Linked DNA regions of Ovis aries. The protein of the gene in region 1 binds, or shares a complex with, the protein of each later gene. Links are inferred from orthologs where the notes say so. Each region holds a gene or a part of one and is shown in the gene's direction. Other genes may lie near its edges.

Region 1 (4,493 bases):
CTGGGACAAACCCCCCAAGGTCCACGTGAGGATGGAGGAGAGGTGCTGGGGGGGAGGGGGCAGAGGCAAAGCGTGAGCACAGAAGGACCCCCAGCAGACCCCGTGCCGGCACCCCGGTCACCGGCTCACAGACCCAGGAAGGCAGCTCCCCGCCTTCCTGTCCTTCTTGCAGACAGACTGGCCACGTACAACACCGCCTCCACCTGCTCAACCCTCTCGGTTAGTAACCCCTGCCTCACAGGGTTAACGCACAACCGCATGGGACGCTGGGTGATGGGTGCTGCGCGAGGGCGCCCGCACGCTCCCAGGCCTGCTGGGCTCAGCGGGCGGCTTCCTCGAGCAACACGCACCGGCTGCCCTTCCTCGGTTTATCAAAGCGGAAGTCCGCAGGGTAGAGGTGATGAGCCACCAGGTGCTGCTTCCGGTCTCTGCTGGTCCTGAACTTCTCCGTGCAGCCCTCCACCAGGCACTGGTACTACAGCAGAAACCGTGTCACCACCCTGACCCTAGGACCACTGCCTCACCCAGTCTGGACCCCAGGCTCCAGCACCATGAGGCACACGGCTCGGGGACAAGCCCCGTGATGACTGCCCTTGGCCTCAGGGGGCGAGCGTCACTCACCATGTCCTGCCGCTCGGCCAGGATCTGGAACAGTGAGTCGTGCCACTCCTGGATGTGGGTGTCCAGCAGGTGACCGGAGGGGAAGGCCCGCCTGCAGTAGGAGCAGACGTTTCCGTGCAGAGTGTGGTAGTGGTGCTCGTAGTCCTCCAGGGCGTCAAACGCCTGGCAGCAGCCGGCCACCTGACAAGTGAACTCAGGCACCCTGGCAGAAAAACGCCTGGTGGGGATGCAATTCCTCGGAGGCCAGGACGCCAGGCTCCCTGTCACCACTCCCCTTAAGTGGCTTCGGATAAAGCTGATAAAGCTTCGGATTTTCTCTTGCGATCCCAAACCCTGCCTTCATTACAAATACATCTTCACGGACAAGCAGGCTGGTGGAGAGGCCAGCCATGCTGGCTTCGTCGGTGGTCCCGAGCAGACACCAGGGCGGGGCGAGCAGAGGGAGGGGTGAGGAGTGGGCAAGAAGGGCCCTGAGCTGGGCCACAGCGCTCACCTGGGCCTCTCCGGCTCCGCAGCCACCTGCGTAATCACATCCTGGAGGTAGAGGTGCCTCTGCACGTCCCCGTCCTGCGGAAGACAGCTCTGAGGGCTCGCACCCCCGCCCGCCCGCGCCCCCAGGACCCGGGCCCGAGCCCTGCCCCCCAAGACCCAGGCCCCGCCCCCAGGACCCGGGCCCCGCCCCCAGGACCCGGGCCCCGCCCCCAGGACCCGGGCCCCGCCCCCAGGACCCGGGCCCCGCCCCGAGCATTGGCCCCGCCCACCTGGGATCCGCTCCGCCCCCACCCGCAACCGCCTTCGCTTTCCTCGGCTCACGCACCTCGAAAAACTCGTGCTCTCGCGGGAAGCGGACCTGGCGCGCCGCGAAGCGGAAGGGCGCGTTCCCGGCCAGGGCGTCCCGCTGCACGGGCAGCGGCGCGGCCGCCCCAGGGGCCCCCGCCAGGCGGGCGTGCAGCGCGGGCGGCAACTGCATCGCCCTGCGCGCCGGCGGCCGCACGGCCTGCGGGCCACCGTCCGCGAGCCGGCCGGGGCGGGGCCGGACGTGACGTCACGCGGCACTTCCGCCGCCGCCGCGGGCGGGGCCGCGGGCTTGGCGCGCTCGGGTTCGGGCTTCGGCGCGCGGCCGTGGTGAGTCGGCCTCGGGGCGGCCCTCCCGCGGGTGGCTCGCGCCCCTCTCCCCGCCCCGAGCCCCGCAGGCTCCTTCCGGCCCTCGTCGCCGTCGCGCTCGCTCCCCGCCGCGCCTCCCGCCTGAAGGGCTGCGCGGCCTCCGCGCCGGCCTTGTCTCCGGGACGGAGCCCGAGCGGTCTCCGGGAGACCCGCGGTTCGCTGTGTCGCTCTGCTGCGCCCGGCAGCCCAGTCTCTGTCGCCGGGGTCTGTGGGTCCGTGGGCGGCGGCCAGCAGGGAGAAGCACTCGGGAGCGTCAGCAAGATGCGCTAGACGCTCCTCGGAGCGGTGTCGAGCGGGCGCTGCCGCGCTGTGGAGGGGGCTCGGTCGGAGTGTGGCCCCCCGGCCTCTTGCCCAGGGAGGGTCAGGGGCGCCCTTCCAGCGAGGCCGCAGCCGGGAAGCCCTCTCAGGGCGGTGCTGCCCGCCGGTGAGAGCCGCAGAGCTCGCGGGAACTGTTCCCAAACCCAGGCTCCTGGGAGCGTCAGTGCTTGTGATGTGGGACGTCCGCTCTTTTCTCCTGCAGGTGTGGGGGTTCACGAAGGTAGTTTTTACACAAACGTTTGCTTCCGTGAGCTTTTTTCACAGCAGCCCTGTCCACCCGCTTGTGTCTCTTCCGCGGGCAAACGCAGTGTCCTTGGCATCCACGTGTCCAAAGCGGTCCTCGGGCCAGCTATTGCGGGACACCCCCAGGCCTTGGGAGCCTCTTAGAATGTGGGTGAAGCCCTTGGAGTCGCAGAGGCCCCGTGAGAGCTCTGTGTGTCTTCTGGTTCGCTTGTCATCTCCAGCGCCGCCTCGCTGCGCTCTGTGACTGGTCGCGAGGTTGCCGTGGTTCAGGCTGCTGGCCCTGCTTCCCGGCCGGTGTTCTTTTCCTCAGGTAACAGCCGTTTCCGGTGATCGGCCGTGTGCAGCAGCAGCGGTGTTCACTCCTGCTCCTTCGGTAGCGACAGTGCAGACTCTTAGGTGCCGCCTTGTGTCTCCACGACAGCTTCCTGAGTAGGGTCTGGTACTCATTCTCCTTGGGAAGAAGCCTACAGAGGGCAAGCTTTTTGTGCAGGGTCCTACAGCCTGGAAGCCCCAAGTCAGGGTTCAGCCTCAGCCCCATGACCGTAGTCCTGTGAGCGCCTCCTGATGTGAAAAGTACACGTGCTGGTGACTTACGTGCCAGCTCACCCTTGCTGTTGGCTTTCTGGAGATACTCTGCCTCTGGCCAGCGCTGGATGTCTCTGTTTGACGACCGATGTACCTGTACAGGGAGCTTGTTTTCCGTCACTTGGGGTTAGAGTCTCTCTCTGTGTGGTTACAAGTCGACACGCGCGCTGTGGGCATGTGTGCTGAGGCTCCCCCAGCTGATGTCTCACTCATAGCTTGTCTTCAGTGGAGCTGTTGGCACCGTGGTTCTAATCTTCTTAGGATCACGGAGGGTTTGAGGATCTGTTGAAAGACCTCCTCATAAAAATCAGAAATAATCTTGCCTGTAATTTCCCAGGGTCTCCTGTGGTACATGATCCCAAGTTATGAATCCTGCGTAGGTATGTCCAGACGTTTATGCGAAGCACGTAAAGCCTGCTCATGTTTGTTTTTTGAATCTAGTTGTCCGCCGTTGTCTTAGTGTTAATAATAATGGCTAACTGGACCGATCATCAGTGGGAGAACAGAAGTCCCCATGCAGGCCACTACTGTCTGCTTGGTGGGATCTCATTTACCGTTTTGGCCTGGAAGGTTATATATCCAGTGAGGAGACGTTTGGACATCTGGTTGACAGGGCAGGTGGGGCTGAAGGGGAAGCCCACCCAGCTACAGTGCGTGGTGGATGTGAACACCTGGCCTGGGCGAGCAGAGGCAGCATCTTGGTTACCAGAGTGGCAGCTGGGGCCTCGTGGCGGGAGCCAGGACGGGAAGTGGCTTAGGCCTGTGCAGAGCTCCCTGTGTGATCAGGACCCCTGAAGGGCAGGGGCTGCTGTGTCTGTACAGCTGGGGCCAGAAAGTGCTGGCTGCCAGCTGAGGGAGCAGCTCCGCGCTGGCCCAGGGCCCTGTGAGGCTGGAGTCACCCAGAGGAAGGAGGCCCAGGCCTTTAGCCCGCATCCGCTCTCTGTGTGTATGCCAGCCCCCAGCAGGGGAGCAGCCCGGACACTGGCCGCAATTGCCGAGGCTCTGAGTCAGGGCTCCGATTCCCCCAGAGCTGCCCACTGAGACAGCCCCCACCAGCAGGGGCGTGGAAGGGCCTCCCCAGGAAGGGGCCCCACAGGCTGGTCAGTGCCGGCTGTAGTGGGGTCTGCCCGGGGACACTGTGGGCCCACCAGGCTGGTCAGTGCAGGCTGTAGTGGGGTCTGCCCGGGGAAGCTGTGGGCCTGCAGGCTGGCTCATGTGACAGTTTGCCTTCTCAAGACCGGACATTGGCCAACTTTGATTGCTTTAAACTTTGTTTATAGGTAGGGATTTGTTTTTATAAATGGCTTGTCTCTTACCTTTAGGGGAACACGTTGTAATGTCTCAGAGCCAAAATCATGAGTGAATTTCGGATTCACCATGATGTCAATGAGCTGCTCAGCCTACTGCGGGTGCACGGAGGGGATGGTGCCGAGGTCTACATTGACCTGCTGCAGAAGAACAGGACCCCGTACGTCACGACCACGGTGTCTGCACATAGCGCCAAGGTGAGTGCCGCGCCAGGGCTGCGCTGGGCGAGGCGGTCCCGACCCCCAGGGCTGCGC
Region 2 (4,373 bases), on another chromosome or scaffold:
TATCTAGAGCTGACAAAAATGAAGATCTGATAACCCAAGTGTGGAACTGAGTATAGGGAAATGGAAATGCTATTGCTGGTTAAAAGTACAAGTTGGTACAACCATCTAGGAAAAAATATGCCAAACCTGGTAAAGTTGAAGCTGCACAAGCTCTTGGTAAATACTTTTCTTCAGGTTCACAAGTGGATAACTCCTGTAGGCATTTGATGTAACACCAAATAAGTGGAAACAATCAAATCACCCCTGTGTGGAAATAGAATAAACTGTTTTTATCCATCCAATTAAATACTATAAAACAGTTAAAAGGAACAAAATGAATCTACATGTATCAACATAGCTAAATCACTAAAGCTAAAGTAGGGTGAAAATAGCAAGATACAAAAGAATATTACACTCATACCATTTATGTAAAATTTCAAAATAAAAAATATATAGTAAAAAATCAAAATCATGCTTGCATGTTTAAAACTTTTTAAATTTTAAAATAAAATAGAAACCAAAATGAGATATCACCTCACATTCATTTAGATGGCCTATTTGTTTTGTTTTTTTTAAAGTAACAAGTGTTGATAAAGATGTGGAGAAACTGGAACTCATGTGCATTGCTGTGGGAATGTGAAATGGTGCAGCGACTGTGAGAAATAGTATGGCAAGTCCTCAAATAAAGGAAACACAATCCTGCCATGATCTAGCAATTCTGATTCTGGGCATATACCCAGAATTGAAAGTAGGCACTCAAACAAGATATTCTACACCCATGTTCATTAGCAGTATTAAGTAGAAGCACGGCAGTGTCCATTGACAGATGGACTGATAAAACACAAAACGTGGTATATGCATACCATGGAATATTATATAGCCTTAACAAGGAATAAAAGTATGATACATGCTGTAACATGGAGTAACCTTGATAACATTACCTAAGTGAAACAAGCCAGACACAAAAGGACAAATACTGTGTTATCCCACTTGTATGAGGCACTTAGTCAAATTCACTGAGACGGAAAGCAGAATGGTGATAAGGGCGAGGTTACTGTTCAACAGGTAAGAGCTTGGGAAGGTGCCAAAGTTCTGTAGGTGACCGCTGGAGACCGTTACAGAACAATGTACATGTACTTAACCTCACAAAATTGTAATTTAAAATGGTTAAAATGGTAAATTTTGTTGGATACATATAACTTAAAAATAGAAATTTAAAAGACGAAAATTGGCTTGAATTCAGCCCCTCTACCTATCAGAGCAGGCAGAGCCGCTCACCTACCTATAAGGCAGAGCGCCGGTGATTCCAGACACCTGGACGTCCCCTCCCTCACTTCCCTTCCCCCACACTCGGTCCCGGCGCGTCTCACTGCGCAGGCGCAGAGCTGGGGCGGGTGGGCAGGAGGGGGCGTGGCCTCACTCCGCGCCTGTGCGGAATTCCAGCTGCAACTGCTGTGGGGGAAAATGATGCCCAGGTTGGGCTCCCGGGCCGCCGGCCGAGAGGAGGCCCGCACTGCACACGCGCAGACCGAGCATCCGCGTCAAAAGCAGAAGAGAGCGCGCGCTCCCCACGTCCTGCGCGCCCAGCTGCCAAGCATTCGTCCCCGCCGTGACTCCTGCCCGGCCTGGCCAGGCTGGCGCGGCCTCATCTGAAGAGCGATGCCCCGGGAGATCATCACCCTGCAGCTGGGCCAGTGCGGCAACCAGAGTGAGCGAACGAGAGCCGGGCCCAGCTAGTCTCCGGTTCTGCCCCTTCGGGTCCCACCCGAGTGCTTGGCATCCTCCAACACCACCACCCCACCCCCGCCCCGCTTCCGTTCCATAACCCCCCTGCCCTACTGCGCATGATGACACCCAGCACGAGAGACATGCCTCTAACCCTGAGCTGTCACGTCGCCCAGATCCGGGCGTCTTGGGCCCACCCTGGAATGTGTGACAGTGTCTGAGCCTCACCCTGGGCTCCCAAGCCCTCTGCTAGAGGGCTTTAGCAGACCCAGGCGTCTCTCCCCATCCCCCAGTTGGGTTCGAGTTCTGGAAACAGCTGTGCGCCGAGCATGGTATCAGCCCCGAGGGCATCGTGGAGGAGTTCGCCACCGAGGGCACTGATCGCAAGGACGTCTTTTTCTACCAGGTGCCCCCAGCGACTTAGCCAGGGTTGGCAATGGCCCACGAGGCCTGAAGGGAAGGGCTTGGGTACTGGGAAACCCACTGGGCAGAGGAGCCAGGGCGGCTGGTTTGAAGGAGGAGGGCAGGCAGGAGCCAGAGTTGGGAGGACTGGAGGACTGGGCAGGCCCGAGCTGATTGGGCCCCTTCTGGACTCCTCTTGACAGGCCGACGATGAGCACTACATCCCGAGGGCAGTGCTGCTGGACCTGGAGCCCAGGGTGATCCACTCCATCCTCAACTCCCCCTATGCCAAACTCTACAACCCAGAGAACATATACCTGTCAGAGCATGGAGGAGGAGCTGGCAACAACTGGGCCAGCGGATTCTCCCAGGTATCCAGGTGGCCATCCGGGAGATTCTTGATGTTCCCTTCCTGGGGTAAGGCAAGCACAAGCAGTCTGGTGATTAGACCATACTGACAGTGAGAGACAGGGGACTACCCTGATAAGAGGGACAGACATAGAGAAGTTTATGCAAAGTAGCATTTCTGGGGTGAGGGCCACAGTCGGGGCTCTGCTTGAGGTGTCAGCAGTGTCCCAAGGTAGAGTTACTGGTGCCGAAAGGAGATGCTCTCCAGAAACGTCATCCTCACGTCTCTATAGGTGTCTCCTCCCTCCTCATCTCTCTATACAGGGTGAGAAAATCCATGAAGATATCTTTGACATCATAGACCGAGAAGCAGATGGAAGTGACAGCCTAGAGGTGAGGTTCTGCCCCTTTAGGGGAGAGGAGGGAGGAAGCTGAGAAGTGCTGGGGGAAGTCAGGAGGTTGCCTCCCTGGTCGCTCAGATGATAAGGAATCAGCCTGCAATGCAGGAGACCCAGGTTCAAATCCCTGGGTCGTGAAGATCCCCTGGAGAAAGGAATGGTAACCCACTCCATTATTGTTGCCTGGAGAATTCCATGGACAAAGGAGCCTGATGGGCTACTGTCCATGGGGTCACAAAGAGCCTGATCAGATGTGTGATGGGGGCAATTTAATTCATAACTCTTGAGTATCAGATGTGAGATGGTGAAGTAAATAAGGTTCAGTTTGTGTCCTCAAGAAGATCCTAATCTGGATGGCATCAGCTCCTTCCTTCTCAAGGAGCCTCACACTGGATGGATATAGAAGAAACCCTGAGACTTGAGAGGGTTGGGAGTGGGACATGAGACAAGCCAGAAGCCTCTCCCCCAGATCCCTGGAGACTGCTTCTCCATTCCTTCCCCTGCAGGGCTTTGTGCTGTGTCATTCCATCGCTGGGGGGACCGGTTCTGGCCTGGGCTCCTACCTCTTGGAGCGATTGAATGACAGGTAAGCCTGTGTTTGGGAAGAGAGCATTAGCTCTGTTTCCCTGGGTAATGTCTTTTCTTTTGTCACTTTTTCTTTTGGCTGAAAGCCCTATTACTACTGCCCTTGAGTTACAAGTAGGAACAGAGCCTGGCCTCCCAGGGAACATCTTGGAAGCAATAACTCCCAGGAAGCAGAGGGTCTGCATAGCTGGGGGAGAGGACCTAGGAGGGAGGGAGGTTTGATGCTTCAGGTTTATCTTTTTTGGCTTCTGGGCTCTAAAGACTCCATTCTGCCCTCACTCCTTTTGTGTAAGACCTTGGTGGCACTTGGAAAGGAACGGCCCCTGTTATTCCTGGAGAAGACAAAGAGGGGCAGTGATGAGAGTCCTTCCAAGTCACTCTGCTACCTGCCCGTTTCCCTCTTCCTCACCCCCAGGTACCCCAAGAAGCTGGTACAGACATACTCAGTGTTTCCCAACCAGGACGAGATGAGCGATGTGGTGGTCCAGCCCTACAACTCACTGCTCACACTCAAGAGGCTGACCCAGAACGCTGACTGTGTGGTGAGCATGGGAGGAGGAAGTGGGGCCTTTGGCCTACCTCCCCAAACCAGTGAGACACCTACACTCTGCCCTTCCCAAGCCCTTGCCCAGAGAACAGACAACCAACAAAGCCATACTTGGTGGCCCAAAGTATGAAATAAGAACCTGACCCCAAGCTTCTCATAGTCCCTTTAGGTAGCAGGACTCTCAACAAAGTAACACCCCCCTCCCACATGTCTCCACTTAGCCTATTTAATACCTACTCATGTTTCCATTCTCAGCCTAATGGTTACTTTCTTAGCAAAACCTTCCCTCACCACCCAGACAAGGTCAAATTCCTCTGTGCTTATTTCAGGCGTAACTATACTTTTCTGTTGTTTTATATTCAATGCCAGTCTCCCTTCTCTAGACCAGG

What was found.
Region 2: TUBGCP2 (region 1) and tubulin gamma-2 chain share a complex: the UniProt entries of both Homo sapiens proteins name them as parts of the gamma-tubulin ring complex. The link is inferred for Ovis aries from reciprocal best matches to the Homo sapiens genes TUBGCP2 and TUBG2.

Annotation. Positions count from the first base shown.
Region 1 is NC_056075.1:51,124,763-51,129,255, reverse strand, and holds the start of TUBGCP2 (gamma-tubulin complex component 2), read left to right. Parts: upstream 1-1,675; 5' UTR 1,676-2,209; exon of another isoform or gene 2,210-2,323; intron 2,324-2,369; exon of another isoform or gene 2,370-3,021; intron 3,022-4,253; 5' UTR 4,254-4,286; coding exon 4,287-4,436; intron 4,437-4,493. Other genes in the region: ZNF511 (zinc finger protein 511), read right to left, coding at 351-475, 622-823, 1,115-1,188, 1,439-1,591. UniProt on the Homo sapiens protein: Component of the gamma-tubulin ring complex (gTuRC) which mediates microtubule nucleation.
Region 2 is NC_056064.1:42,455,245-42,459,617, forward strand, and holds the start of tubulin gamma-2 chain, read left to right. Parts: upstream 1-1,397; 5' UTR 1,398-1,638; coding exon 1,639-1,687; intron 1,688-1,997; coding exon 1,998-2,110; intron 2,111-2,309; coding exon 2,310-2,477; intron 2,478-2,778; coding exon 2,779-2,847; intron 2,848-3,358; coding exon 3,359-3,438; intron 3,439-3,504; exon of another isoform or gene 3,505-3,852; coding exon 3,853-3,979; exon of another isoform or gene 3,980-4,373. UniProt on the Homo sapiens protein: Tubulin is the major constituent of microtubules, protein filaments consisting of alpha- and beta-tubulin heterodimers. Gamma-tubulin is a key component of the gamma-tubulin ring complex (gTuRC) which mediates microtubule nucleation.